4 linked regions of the Xenopus tropicalis genome follow. The protein of the gene in region 2 interacts with the protein of the main gene of each other region in a pairwise test. Links are inferred from orthologs where the notes say so. Each region holds a gene or a part of one and is shown on either strand. Other genes may lie near its edges.

Region 1 (3,980 bases), about 84 Mb from region 2:
GCCCCACTGGGCAAAATGTAAAAGCTGGAGAAGCAGAGGGATGCCTACTGTGTAGCATAAAACTACATTGGATAGAACTGGAATTTTATCCAAATCATTTTGCCTCCAATTGTTAATGGTATGGAGGATAATACAGCTTAAAATGGCAGTAAATGAACCAAAATAATACACAATATTTTCTGTTTATTTACATGCTTCCTCCTTTTGCATAAACAAGGAACAAAATGGAATATTAATCTTTGATGCCTACTTCCTTTCATACAGTGGGTGATACATATACAGTATGTCATACACTGGGGCATAACCATAGAGGAAGCAGACCCTGTGACTGATGGGTAGCCTACAATTAATAGGGAGCTCAGCGGGGGGCTGGCTGATGAGTTTCTATACATGTTTATGAAATTGTCTTATTCCCAAAGATAAGGGGTTGTTAAATAATTTTGTGGTGGGGATCAGTAACATTTAGTAGGTAATCACTTCTTCTTTTCATTTCTGCAATACGTTATAGCTTTACTATATCTCTTACTATAGTAAAGCTATTACTACAACTTTATTAGTATCTTTTCCAGTAAGGAACTCTTTTTCCAAGTGGCTGCTGTAAGGATATGTTTAAGGAGGCTTAGTACTTTTAAAGAGAGAGTTCTCAGACCCAAATAGAATGCATTCAGGTTAGCTTTGATCCTGCAATGAAGGAAATAGCAGACCAACTCTGCCACCATCTCCCAAAAGCTCAGGGTCACTCAACAAGTCCACCAAAATATGAATACAGGATCCCCCTATAGCCATGGGATAGCCAAGGAATCAGGTTAGACTGATCCAACAAATATATTTAAGAGATGCTGGGGCATAATATCCCCTGCATTGTATCTGGTATGCTATTTTTGGTAGCACATACAGATGTTCTTCCCTCACTCTCTCAAATGGTTCTCCAGCTTTTCTCAGTACAAGTATGGTACCAGAATGCTTGGGACCTGGGGTTTTCCAGATAAGGGATCAAGCATAAGGTACTGTTTTATTATTACTGAGAAAAGGAAATTATTTTTAAATTGTGAATTATTTGATTAAAATGGATTTTATGGGAGATGGGCTTTCCATAATTTGGAGCTTTGTGGATAATGGGTTTCTGAAAAAGGGTTTTAATACCTGAATTGGCATATCTAAATCTTAATTAAGGGATACAAAAGCTGTGTTGTATCTGCTGAAAGGCTCACATATATCAAGGAGAAGGCAAATCCCAGTATAGCTTGCACATTGACTCTCAATGTATGCCTCCTCAATTCATTTATATTGTATATTTTTATTATTATTGTTCCTTTTTTGCCAATTTTCAGCCTGCAAATGAAAATGCTATCTGGCTCTCAGCCTTATTCACCCAGAATTTTAAAACAGATTGAGGGTTCAATAATATTTCTATTTTTTTGTTGCTTATAAAAGACCTCTTTTGTTTATCTCCAAACTGACTTCTAAACTACTGCCTGGTTGGTAGGGTAATCAAGACTTAACAACTAAATAAAAGTTGAATGCCAAACCTGGAAGTTGTAGAAAAAAATGTAAATATTTCATGACCAAATGCAAATAGCCTTAGAATAGTACTGTCTACATCACACTAAAAGATAATTATAAGGTGAACTACCTCTTTAAGAAGGTTGAGAGGGTAATTTGCAAAAATAAAATTGAAAAACAGACCTGTCATATACTTCAGTCATGGATAGTTGAGCTGGGGATGGGTCATCTTGTACAAAAGCAGGATTGTCCATTGGGTAGATGTTATAATACTGAGGGGGACCTAATGCAGTCCCATTAGCCCATGCAGAATGGTTAGAATTGGGATTAGAAGATATGGGTGTTGCACCTCCTGTAAAATCGTGAGTTGAATAGGGGGGAGGAATATACTGTACAACAGTAGCACCATGAAAAGTTATGGGTTGATTTATTCCAGTAAAAACAAAAGATTGTCCTCCTGAAAGCTGCTCAGTATCTAATGGCGTCTCTTCCGTGCTCTTGCATGGCTTACATGATGTCAGCATCATAAACTTCCCTACAGAAATCAGTACAGCCATCGCACCCGCAATCAGCAGAATGGGTCCCACTAACCGAGTCCAGTCAAAACCAGTTTGCTTATTGTTCACCCATGCCAGCACAGTTAAAGCAATCCCCACTAATGCCAGGAAGATTCCAGAGAACAGCAGGGTGCCCCAACCTTTGTCCCCACTTGAAACATGGGCATCAGATTGGTTGCTTGGATAAGATGAGATTGAAAAAACATTTGGAGCAAAATCATCATCATGTCTGTCGTTCTGTTCCATTCTAGAATGCCTTGTGTTCCCAGCTACGGGATGGAAAGGCATTCCGAGCCTTTGCCAAGGTAAAAGTTCAGTTGTTCAGTCACATGATCACTGCGGCTTGTCTGATAAAGCAATAGACTTTAGCAGCAAGGGATAAAGGTCTGAGCATCTGAGATAGAACAATACACATGCATGACATGGCAGCTTTGTATTCCCAAACCATACTTATTGCAAAAGAGACGCTACCTGCCAACTTGGAAACGTGGTTTGTTTGTTTGTTTACTCTTATCCCACAGCCACAGTCCCTTCCCACTGTGCAGACTTAAAGTCTAGCATGGCTGCAGACCCTCACAGACAAAGCTCCCAAACTATCCTCTCAGAGGCTATTTCTTTGTGGTCTAATGAAGTGGATCTTGTATGTGGGACTCACAAGGGCACTACAGAAGCTGCAGGACAAGTAGGTGCTTTATTCTTTTTTAGCACCTTATAAATAGCTTTATCAGCCATTTTAGTAATCATTTTTAGCTCTCACTCCTGCCAACAACCACCAATTGCCAAGACTGCTAAGAGACAAAGCATGAAGGGATTCTGTAAAAAGAAAGAAGGGAATCCTTGGTCAATCTAGTTGTGGAAGGGAAAGTAAACATTCTCAAAATAATTACAAGTTCTGGTTTTACTTAACTGGCTATATTTAAGTAATAAATACATATAAAGTACATAATATCATAATTAAATAAATATTAAGTTCCTTTTATTTTATTGAGCTAAGCCGCTCCCACTACAGCTTCCCAGAAGGGGGCGCTCCTGTGCATTGTTTAGTTCTAGTGAGTCAATGACATTTCATAAAAACAGAGATTAAAACTAAGATATGTTATTTTCTGATAAGTCTCACATTATCCTTCCGAACACTTTTATTGAGTTCTAGGTCAAATGTCTCCTTTGTCTCTTGGCATAAATAACAGCACTATAATTAAAGTCTTGATGGAAAAACAAAGATTAAATTCTTCAAAAATGCTGAACCAGAAAATGAACAGGCAGTTCCTTACATAAAGGAAAACGACTATCTGGTGACATACTTGATGGGTTCTTTGAGGTGGCCCCTAACCTTGTTTATGAGCCTTTAAAGTATTCATACATGGGCCAACTCCATATGCTCTCCAGCAGTTTGGCCATGGGGAATACCTCTCCAAAGAAAACTTTCTGCAATACAATACACTAAAAAACTGTCTGTGTCAAATACTTTTTTATTGTTCAGATCATTTGGGGCTGAACAAGCTGAACAATATAGTACATAGATGTTGTACATGCAGAGACAAGGGGTCCTCTGCACTCACCCATTATCCATATAAATTGAACATTAAGACATTCAGTGCACAAGGCTACCAAGCAATGCCCTCCCCTTTAAGCAAAACAAGGATTGTTTGTCCATATATTGCAATATATTCAAGCTGGCCAACTATATTAAAGTCATCCCTGGTCTGGCCGGTCCTACGCTCACTTTTATCTGATTTATTAAAAGTTCTATTACTTCATTATACATTTTAAACATTTTACCTGCAACTTGCTTGCTTTTAAGGTTAAAACTCCCAAATGGTTGCCTTTTTCATTGGCTCCACTGGAATCACCTGACTGTATCTGGAAGGTGAAGGGCAGGTCTTAGTAGCTTAATGCACTGAATGCCTCAATGTCCAATAT
Region 2 (3,481 bases):
TTTGTATTTTATTTCTGCTCACATTTTGGTTTGTCATAACTGCACAACAAAAAGCTTAATTCACAAATAGGAAAAATGAAGACCAACTGCAAATTGCTAACTAGGTAAGCTAAAAGTTATCAAGCAAGGACCAATGTGAATATTTAACAGACTCTGTAAAGCACATTAAGGTTATCATTTACTGGCTAGAAGAATTTAGATATTTTAAAATTTGCCCTTTTTGACACAAAACAACCCCCACCACAAAAAAAACCTTTGTAAATATCTCTCAAGTTAAGGGGCATCACTGATTTATTCAATAATGAGTAAATGAAATGCATGATTTTTACATAATATTGTATATTTTATCTATACTTGGTCATTTTAATATCCCTTTAGCGGTGATCCTGCACAATTCTGTGAGCCATTTCTGCGCATACAGTGTCCATTGCCACAAACGTAAAGGTTAACATGAATTTTGTACGTTAGTGTTTGTAGTCAATTTTAAGAAAGTTACCATAAAGCAGCAATGTTTGGTTAGTTGTTAACAGTGATTCATTCTTTATTAAAACACCTTTATAATACAGTTGGCTGGAGGATTATGTTCTCATTTAGGAGCATTTAAATTACTTAAAACCTGTGAGATCTTTTAATAAGACTTCTGAGACACTGGTAATTGCTTGCAGAGAAGAGAACTCTAAAACTATAAAATGTTAGGAGTGATTTTTCTCTTAAAAGTAAATGCTCATTTTCAGTCATAGACCACAGATCATTTTATTATTGTAATGACAGAACCAGAAGATTGAGTCTCCATCTAACAGGTTTCCTATTTAACTACAGGAAATGTCTCTTGATCCAGTTGTAACCTTCCGGTTATCACATTGATGTTAAAGGTCGCCACACCCAAGACATACACCACTGTTCAAACGAAATGCAGACAGTAATAGCCATGGAGGAGAAGAAAACAACAACATATTGTGGATTTTCTTTTCTTCAACAGGAGCAAAAAGACTAAATGTTCGTACTGGATCAGCCCTTTGTGCTACCCTATGGCAAGTGATGCTTAATGGATCTTTAAAAATGGTAGTAAGGAAGTGGGTAATGAGGTAAGAAAAACGTTTCTTCCAACAAAGTATGCCCAGAGCAACTGTTCGCATAAACCGCCAAGGAAGACAGACCCTATTGTAGTCACTCAAGTACTTTCTGCCCATAATCCAAGAAAGTAATACAATATCCTTCAGCCTGCCAGCACTGCTCATTCTTGTTGCTCATCATGACTTGAACTTGGAGGTCGACTTCGAATCTGACTGCGCAATTGTTCTATCAGCTCTGGATTCTGCTGTTGCATCTGCTGAGCAAACTGTTGTCCTCTAGGAAACAAAAACAACAGAGTGGTTTGGAATTACTTTTATAACCTGCTGAAAAGGTGCAATGTTCTTATTATCTGATAATTATCCTTGCTTTAAAATAAAACACTATGGGGCACATTTACAAATCCACGAATCCGAATCACGAATGGGAAAAAAATCGTATTGGAAACGAAAATTTCAGAAGATCGCAAATATCACGAAAATGCTTACGAAAAAATAGTATTAGTCACGATAATATCGTATTGGCGATCCGAAAGTCACAAAATTTTCGTACCGAACAATTGTAAACAGCTCAGCAGCCATTTGCCTATTAAGTTTGAGCTCCACCTTCAAAGCTAAAACATTTTTAGGTTCCTCCATTGTGGTTCTCCTGCATTTCCAATCAGAAGATTGTTAGGAAATCAACACTTCACTGTTCCTAGGTACATGGTACGCAATGCACATGGGCACTGGTATCCTACAACATGGGGTGGCTTTACATGCATGCACTGTACCCTGGAGGAGAAAGCAGTGGAGGGCTATGCTGACAATCTTAGAAAGTTTAAGTTAGGGTTGTGTCAGTGTTCAGCAGTACAACAACTCCATCTACTATCATAAACTGAACAATGGCCACAAGCTGACAGAATTAACATTAGACATACGCTTGTATAAGACTGGCCAAATCATTTGGAGGAGTGTTTCCTGCAGCTGCAGCTCCAGCCCCAGCCATTGGTGTGTGGCCACCAGAGATCATTCCTGACATTCTGAAAAGCAAAGATAATGAGAACATGTTATTTTCAGGATATTCAGATAAAAAAACTGAATGCTTTTGTTTTACACACAACTACTAAATGTGTGGTTAAATAGAGGATACCAAATACAGGGTTTTCTGTTTATTAAGCCTAAAAGAACATAGGCAAAATGTGATATTGTACAAAGAATGGGTCTTTGTTGATTATGGATTATGATGGAATATAATTATGATAATATTATGATAATCATATTGTGATGTACGTTTCTTTACAAGTGTAATGCTAGGACCTCCTAGCTCTAACTGAACATTTATAAGTTATAATAAAGTCGTGACTTTTGCAAATGGAAAACGACTTAACTGTTTCATAATGGCCCAGGAACCTTTTAAGACACACTGGGGATAATGAGCCTATGATTAAGTACCATCATGATACAAACATGTCAGGCAGTAACTTTTTTTTTTACTCAACTTCCATGGTTGCAGGAGTGCTTGCTCGTATGTGGCTTAAGGCATTGGGGATAATGTACAATTGTACAGATAGTTAACAACTTAAACAAAGTATATCGCAGCTCCACTGCAGATTACCCACTTCATAAGTGTGGGGTTTGTGATTTTTGTAAATTTGCTGTACACCGCCACAGAAACTGTCAGCACTAACCTTTTCTGTGCCCAAGATTTTAGTGTGTGCCCTGCACTGAACTTTTAGTACAATAAATGTGTTTAACACCAAAAATGACAAAGATAAATGGTTACATTGCTAGCTACAGAATGTCACCTAACATTAGTCCATCTGCCCTGTGGGGTCAGTGTGTGCTGGAGTGGAATGACACTTTTCTGTGGAGTCTAAATCAAGAATAACCTACCAACATAACTTCACAATATAGTACCCTATATGCATACCTTAACCTCCCTTAATTTAATTCTGAAAACAAAATGAGACCCAAAAACAATTATTCTAAATCTATACATGGTATACAATACCCCTTAAAGGAGAAGGAAAGTTACAATCACTGGGGGGAAGTAATGTGCCAAAATGTTAGGCACCCCCAGTGATTGTAATCGCTTACCTGAAACCCCTGGCCAGTGCCCCTGTTAGGAGAAAACTGCACCAGCCGGGGTGTATGCGACCAAACAATCCTCTTCTTCGGTCTTTGTGTATACGCAGTGCAGTGGAAAGTCGGCCTTTTGCTCAACTGCACATGCGCGGACCCTGGGATCTTATCAAAAGGAGAAGGAAGGAAGAGGATCACTCTCCTGCATTAACTCCTGGCCAGTGCTCCTGTTGGGAGAAAACTGAACTGCCCAGAGGTTACTGCAGGCAAGTGATCCTCTTTCTTTCTTCTCCCTTTTTAGGTAAGTTATTACAATCAATGGGAGTACCTAACGTTTGGAACCCCCC
Region 3 (3,988 bases), on a different chromosome or scaffold from region 2:
CTGCACTGGAACATGGTAGGGCGGCTCCTTATTCATATATCCAGCTCTCTGTGCTGTCCTGCCAGCAGACAAGCTCATCGGGTTGGAACCAAAGAGCGATCTCTCGCTGGGCGCTCTCCCTGGAGTCACTGCCGTGTATAACGTTCCTGAGGGAGAAACAGAGAAACCCCATGAGCATGTAGGGAAATAAAGAGGGATGCAAAGAACCCTAAAAAGCAGAGTAGCACGGTGGGGTTGGCGGCTGTCACCTCATGCCACTTAATTTTCTCTTCCCAGTGATCTCGAGCCAGAAGCATGCAGAGTTGAAGATGATGAAGACCTAGCTTCAGGTGCACATGTTCCAGGTCAGCAACCGGTCAATGAAGAGAACATCAAGCAGTGTGAGTTGGTGCCCACCACATCCACGACTCCACTGAGGGTCTGCAGTGGTGCAGCTCAGGGAGGGGTAGTGCCGAGACTCTCGGTACTCATGTTACAAATGGCTCCAGGACCCCATTACTTTCCCAGTGGACCTGCTTCCCTTATTGCTATGCCCTAGTGCCACCCCTTCATGCCATCCACAAGGAGGAAAAGTACTGTACAGAGCCTTCCCACGACTCCCTCAACCTAACTGAAAAGTCTGTGTTCAAATTTACATTTAATACACCAAACACATTTCTACACTAAATCAAAGATACAAAGATACTATAGTTAATCTCTATCTTCTTGTTGCTTTATAATTCAACAGATATTTTTGTTTTGAATTTAGTGTAACCTAAGCTTCCCGGAGCTCTGGCATACACCATAAACTTGAAGCTCATTTTATTAATACGGCATCATCTATTAGTAGTCCATTGAATGACAGTGGCTCAATGCGGCTATCTCCAAACCCAGTGAACTTACCTGCCGACATCTACACAGAAATCCCCTCGGATTGTGCCTGGCAAAGAGTGAGCTGGGTTTGTCTCCCCAATCATTAGACGGGCAGTCTTAACCACATCCAAGCCCTGCCACACCTACGAGGGAAAAGGAAATCGTATGAGAGGAAGGGCACATCTGATAGCACCACAAGGTGGCAGTAGAGAGGGTTGGAGAGAAACCTGGTGTGGCAGGAAGAAGAGATGTAAAGCTACAGAAGTGGGAGGAATATATATATATATATATATATATATATATAAAATGTATATTAAGGTAATAAGAAAACCTTGCGATCCTTACCATAGCAACCACTGGTCCGGAACCCATGTACTTCACTAGACGGTCATAGAAGGGCTTGTCCTGCAGAGCAATGTAATGCTGCTTGAGCAGTTGCTCCGAGGCCTGCATCCAAATACACAGAATTATAACCCCTCAGTTTTCTCAAGCCATAGAATATTTGCTCTTTGGCACTAATATGGTTAAATCCCACTTAACCCTTCTGAGTCTGTTTCTGTAAAGGAAGGGCACTATATGACTGCTCCTAATGAGGATGCTGACTATAATGCAGGTCACAATTACTTATTGCAGATCTGTACCCTTCGTATTTACAAATTCAGGTGATGAATGAAAATCACATGGGAGTTTTCACCTGATTCCCACAGACAGATATGATGAGAGGCTATTTGGAGCACTCTGACTCCCCAGAATTGCTATGTGTGCCATAATCCTCAGAGAGGCTGGACCTGGCTCTGTGTAATCATAGAACCCAAAAGTATTTTATATTCTCCTCCTAATATCAATCAGAAGGTTCTACATGTCTGTCTATCTCGGTCATCAGTAGAAACTGGGTTTTACAATATCACCTGCATTATCTTCATCGCCACCAGATGGAATCCCTTTTTCTCAAAGCGGCGTATGATCTCGCCAATCAGTCGCCTTTGGTACCCATCAGGCTTGATGGCCAGGAAAGTGCGCTCATTAATCCCTGTCCAGGCTGCAGAAGACCAAGCAAGGAAAGCGCATCACAGAAGGGAAATGCATTACCTCTATACAAATAGCAGTTACTTTTAGCCGCAATGCCCTTTACTGACCAATAGAGGGAGCACATATACTACTGCAGCGCTCTGGATGCTGAATACTGCCCAATACGATGGTTTTCCCACTTTTCAGATTTGGTACGAGCCCCCTTACCATTGAGGTCCAACCTATGGTCTGGGCCTGTTAATCTATAACACGTTTATTTATATACTATCTATCTATATATGAGTTGAGAACCATAGGACTAATGAAAAGGGGTCTGTATATAGATGCTGCCCAGTTGGCCAATGCCCCTTCCTTGTACAGAAGGGCTAAGCAGAACATGGTGCCCAACAGATCCAGCCGACTCCTGGCAGTTGTACTTTTGTTGGCACAGCTATTCCATAAGGAAACTGCTGACAAAATAAAGAATTATCCCCATGTGACATTCCCCCAAGGGCACTTATTTCCATGCACATATGTTCAGAGAAAGAAAATAAAACATTATTGGTTGCTAAGGTAATCAGCCCCTAGCAACCAGATGCCCCTTTGTCCCCAGATTTACTGATACACCACTCCGCTACTCCATAACAGGGATCCGAAACCCAGGGCCGGCAGGGCATGCTGGGAGCTGTAGTCCCGCCTCCGTTGAACTAACTAGTAAGAACAGAAAAGCGATCGCTCCCTCTCCATTCAGCCTCCCGCGTTTCACACTACAATCAGCTCCGAGTGTTTGCTGGATCCCCCAGGGGTTTCCCTGATCCCTGCTATCGATCTACTCCAACCCCCCGATGGGTCCCACCTGTAGGGAAGATGTGGGCGAAGATGGTGAGCACCAAGCAGATCATGGCGAGAGCGGAGAGAAAGGGCGGGAGCGAGCCCGCGGGAAGAGCCAGCAGCAGCGGGAGCGCGCACGCCGCCCATAGATAGCGCCGGGCTTGTCAATCATGTGGCTGTGGGGATGCTGGGAAGTGTCTGGCTCTGTATAGCCGGCTCCATTGCCTTATCCACTTATCCATATGATACCCTGAGGAGTTCCCTTTGTCTGATACAGAGCAGCGGTATAATAAATAAAGAACCCCATGAGTGTGTACACTAACATACAAGAATAATTAGCCTGGGTCTTCACATTTAACCGTATGGGCTCGGCATAATGCGATTATGATGGCAGCGTGTGGGAGTAACAGGCTAATCCTAGGATTTGTTTAAAGGGGAGCTTAGAGCGAAAAGCTGTTAGGGGTTTTGTTATTCTTATTGTTACATATACAGGGTGTCACATGATGCTGAGTAGTTATTGCTACACAGGTAAAAAAATTATAACATTCCATTTAGGGGGAAGACACACAGAGCTACTTAGTAGCAGCTACTTTTTCACAGGCAACTAAACTCCAGAAAATCCCCTGCCATAGACAATACTGAGAATTGCCTCTGCTAAAACACACATAGATACAATTATCAGTAAAAGATCAGCATTGTCTATTTTAGTAGCCAAGACAAGTAGCTGCTACTAGTAGCTCTGTGTTTCTTCACCCTTAATTGTGAAGATGGTCAGCAGATCATATTGATGCCTCATGCATTCTGCTGGGATTTAGCATAATCCAGTTGTGTCACATTTATGGGTATATATCAGAGCACACACTATGGCAGCAAGATCTGAGCTCAGCTGAAGGGGCTGAGGTACATTGCCATGTAGATTCTTTTTTAACCATTTAGAGATATCTATTTAAACCGACCCGCAAAGAGTGTTAGGTATTAGGCACTGTACTCTTTAATTAATAGAGAGCATTCAGGTAACAAAATATTCAATTGTATTCAAAGCCAAACCTATGCATATAATATATATTTACATATATGAATTTAAAAGTAATCGAAAAACTGTACCGTTTAAATTCAGTTATACATTTGGTCAAATCCTGCAAAAAGTTCTGGCATTTAGGCAAATCCAGGATCTGGTATATTCCTATTTATTGCATGTAGTGATGTGTGGGCTGGCCCCAAACCCGCTGGACCCGCAGGCCGACATCCTCACAGCTTCTGTAAGGTGCCCATACACGTTAAGATTTGATTACTTGGC
Region 4 (3,092 bases), on a different chromosome or scaffold from region 2:
ACATTTCTATACCATGTTAAAAAGAATATAATAACCATGCTCAGAAAAACAGCTACTATTATTTTAATATGATTTCATTATTTTAATTTCTTTTACAAATAGTTCATTTCTTTTTAATCAAGGCGCTAATTATATTTTTCTTATTACAGGTATGGGATCCATTATCTGGAAACCTGTTATTCTCCCATCCCATCTCCCATAGACTCCATCAGCAGATAATTTATATTTTTAAAAATGATTTGATTTTTCTCTGTAATAATAAAAATGCATTTGATCCTACATACGATATAATTCATCTCTACTGCAGACAAAACAATCCTATTGGATTTAATAATTGTTTAAGTATTTTTTTAGTAGACAAGGTATGGAGATCCAAATTACAGAAAGATCCCTTATCCAAAAAAACCCCAGCATTATGGATAACAGGTCCCATACCTCTATTTTAATTATTAATTATTATTTGTAAACTTCATATTATCATATAAAATGAGTAACGCATGCTAAAATTTGGTTACAATTAATTTATCATTTAATCTTTATACAAGATACACTTTTATCAATACATTCCACAGAAAGTCTCATTTTTTTACATAGTTTATCTACTAAAGTAGATAGATAATACATCATTGTAATATAATGAAATACAATATTAAGCACAAAAATAAAATTAGTTTACATTTTATGTTGAATAGTAGAATCTGAAAACATTTATGTTTATTTACAATATTAGTACATAGGGCTGTGAACTCATTTTCAGCTCCCTTTCTTGTATTAACGCTATCCCATGGGAGTATTTTATTTATACTAGAATGGCCCAAGAGAAAGGTGAAGAACACACTTTGACTGCTGGACCATAAACAGGTATTTGTTTGAATGTATATGTTAAACATGGGCACTGGCGCCATTGTCACATGTCCTATTTTTTATTTTCAGAGTTTTTCAGCATTTCGGTCATGAAGGATATATACACTATGGCAAGGCGTAACGTTTCTATGCGGGAAAGCCTCTTCTCATAGGCAAAAGTTGGTACCTTTTTTCGGAGCAGATCAAAGGCTTCGTTGAGGTTAAACATCCGCTTTCTCTCTCTGATGTTGGCAGCTTGGCGCTGGGCATATGTGATCACTCGTTTTCTTTTGGGGCGGCCCATTGGAGAATAAAGTGTGAAATCCTCTTCATATTCTGTCTCCTCATCTTCAAATCTGGTTATGGCAGAGACATCTTCATGAAACGAGATGGCTCTGTCTCCAAATGAAGGAAAGTCATAGAAACGGTCCCCTAGGTTCAGACCTTGAGCTGGACTCATCATTGCAGGGGGATTCTCTCTGTAAAAAGAAATCTATCAGATCATCAATCAAAAAGCAAAAGAAGATCAGACTCTAATAAACCTTTTTGGAATTCCACCTGTTGCAGTTGCACAATTTTCTAGTGAGTAGTGAAACGTACTTGTCAAGCCTTTTGTGGAAATAGCCCCTACAGCACAACAAGTGCCAACTCTCACATTTATATCCAAGGAGGTAACAGGATTAAAAAGGAAAAAAAGACAGCGAAAAAATAGTTTCATCGTAATGTTGATAGGAACAGACACACAGAAACATAGGACACGTGGACATTCCAGAGGGAAACCAATTGAGTTTTTAAATCCTGTTAAAGCGAAGAAAGAGAATTTCTTTTTAGTAAAGCTGGCAGTCCTCACCCGCTGAGAAAGTAGAAAATAGTTATTCTTCAAAGTAGATGGGCACAGGAGTATTCCATGCAGGAACTTGCTGCTGCTCCTTGTCTGCAAGAATGACTGAACTCTGGAGAAAGAGTTTTCTAGTGGATATGAGATAAGTCTATGCTCGCTCTTTATGATCTTTTGGAGAGGGGACCATTGTGAAAAGGGTCAAAAGGAAATGTTTACCCTGTTTCCCAGTGCAGAGACAGTTGAATGACAGGACCTCCATTTGCTTAAGCAAGCAGTGTAGCGTACCCAATATTGCATTCCCAATTGTAACTGTTGGAACCAGCTTTATCCTGCAAATAAGTTCAAATATGGACCCAACTGTGCAGTAAAACATTTCTTTTACTTTCAGAGATGAGTTTGTTACTGCTGTTATTACAATGGAAGTGTGTAAACGTCTAAGTATAGGTTTACTCTTCAGAGGCCTTGATTAGAAACTCCAAATGAAAAGAACTGGAGCTAGAAGAAAACGCTTCTTATCTTATAACCGCACAGGTTTTGATACATTGCTAACTAAAAATCAGTGTCTATGAGGGATTTACAACTTGACAGCATCATATACAGAAATATAAGCATGCCACATTATACACTCACATGAAATAGCTATTTAATCATTTAAAAAACAATGTATCTATTTCATCCATTAAAGAAAATGTTGTTTATAGTGTTTACTGTATGGAATGGAATGGCCATGCTGTTGCTATGTTATTTAAACATTATTGGCTGTTGGAGATTGCTGAGAGTTGTAGTTCCATAGCTGCATGGATGCCAGCTGTACACCAATGTATATCCTTAGATTAGAAGCGTGTGGATAGGACTAAGAATGAAATTAAAAAAAAAAAACCACAGCAACGTAATGACTAACTGGACAAAAAAAATCCGAATGTTAGGCACTTATCCTTGGTACCATACAGGGCAGTGACATTTTTAAGGACAGGAGGAAAACACGAACAAAATGCTGCTGGGTATCAGAAGCTGAAATTTCTTGAATTTTTCCAAGTAATTCAAAATATTCAGGCAGGTTAACTGATGGCTAATGAAATAACCCCAGTGTGTGTGTGACAGGGACCTTAGATTGTGAGCTCCAACGGGGCAGGAAATTAAAAATTAACAAATATTTGCTGGTTCTAACCTATTGGCCTTGACATGCTCATATCATCTGTTCTAACTGTCCTTATCTTTTTATGTTGATGTGATTTTATCTCATATATTTAATGCATTGTTGCATGGAAAACCCCCAATAGCAATCAGGCAAAATACTTTATACGTGGAATTACATTTGTATTACTTTCTGTGTCCTAAATGTAGGAAAATATAGGAAATCAAAATGCTTAAATTAAACCAGTTGCAGCTGTATCTTGCCAAAGGGCAG

Evidence for each region. The genes of interacting proteins can lie anywhere in the genome.
Region 1: the proteins of sgta (region 2) and tmem174.2 interact in binary tests that used the Homo sapiens proteins (3 or more experiments, as listed by UniProt). The two-hybrid records come from large-scale screens. The link is inferred for Xenopus tropicalis from reciprocal best matches to the Homo sapiens genes SGTA and TMEM174.
Region 3: the proteins of sgta (region 2) and nme3 interact in binary tests that used the Homo sapiens proteins (3 or more experiments, as listed by UniProt). The two-hybrid records come from large-scale screens. The link is inferred for Xenopus tropicalis from reciprocal best matches to the Homo sapiens genes SGTA and NME3.
Region 4: the proteins of sgta (region 2) and ferd3l interact in binary tests that used the Homo sapiens proteins (3 or more experiments, as listed by UniProt). The two-hybrid records come from large-scale screens. The link is inferred for Xenopus tropicalis from reciprocal best matches to the Homo sapiens genes SGTA and FERD3L.

The regions. Positions count from the first base shown.
Region 1 is NC_030677.2:183,103,209-183,107,188, reverse strand, and holds the start of tmem174.2 (transmembrane protein 174), read right to left. Parts: upstream 2,812-3,980; 5' UTR 2,349-2,811; coding exon 1,687-2,348; intron 1-1,686. UniProt on the Homo sapiens protein: Regulator of plasma phosphate homeostasis. Decreases serum inorganic phosphate (Pi) uptake by regulating the sodium-phosphate cotransporter SLC34A1 trafficking by PTH and FGF23 in the kidney.
Region 2 is NC_030677.2:99,266,580-99,270,060, reverse strand, and holds the end of sgta (small glutamine-rich tetratricopeptide repeat-containing protein alpha), read right to left. Parts: intron 2,093-3,481; coding exon 1,991-2,092; intron 1,350-1,990; coding exon 1,235-1,349; 3' UTR 512-1,234; downstream 1-511. UniProt on the Homo sapiens protein: Co-chaperone that binds misfolded and hydrophobic patches-containing client proteins in the cytosol. Mediates their targeting to the endoplasmic reticulum but also regulates their sorting to the proteasome when targeting fails.
Region 3 is NC_030685.2:21,449,958-21,453,945, reverse strand, and holds the start of nme3 (nucleoside diphosphate kinase 3 precursor), read right to left. Parts: upstream 2,812-3,988; 5' UTR 2,763-2,811; coding exon 2,717-2,762; intron 2,683-2,716; exon of another isoform or gene 2,092-2,682; coding exon of another isoform or gene 1,989-2,091; intron 1,892-1,988; coding exon 1,761-1,891; intron 1,300-1,760; coding exon 1,198-1,299; intron 996-1,197; coding exon 883-995; intron 147-882; coding exon 29-146; 3' UTR 1-28. UniProt on the Homo sapiens protein: Catalyzes the phosphorylation of ribonucleosides and deoxyribonucleoside diphosphates, other than ATP, into the corresponding triphosphates with ATP as the major phosphate donor.
Region 4 is NC_030682.2:38,476,575-38,479,666, forward strand, and holds ferd3l (fer3-like protein), read right to left. Parts: upstream 1,761-3,092; 5' UTR 1,307-1,760; coding exon of another isoform or gene 1,304-1,306; coding exon 917-1,303; 3' UTR 512-916; downstream 1-511. UniProt on the Homo sapiens protein: Transcription factor that binds to the E-box and functions as inhibitor of transcription. DNA binding requires dimerization with an E protein. Inhibits transcription activation by ASCL1/MASH1 by sequestering E proteins.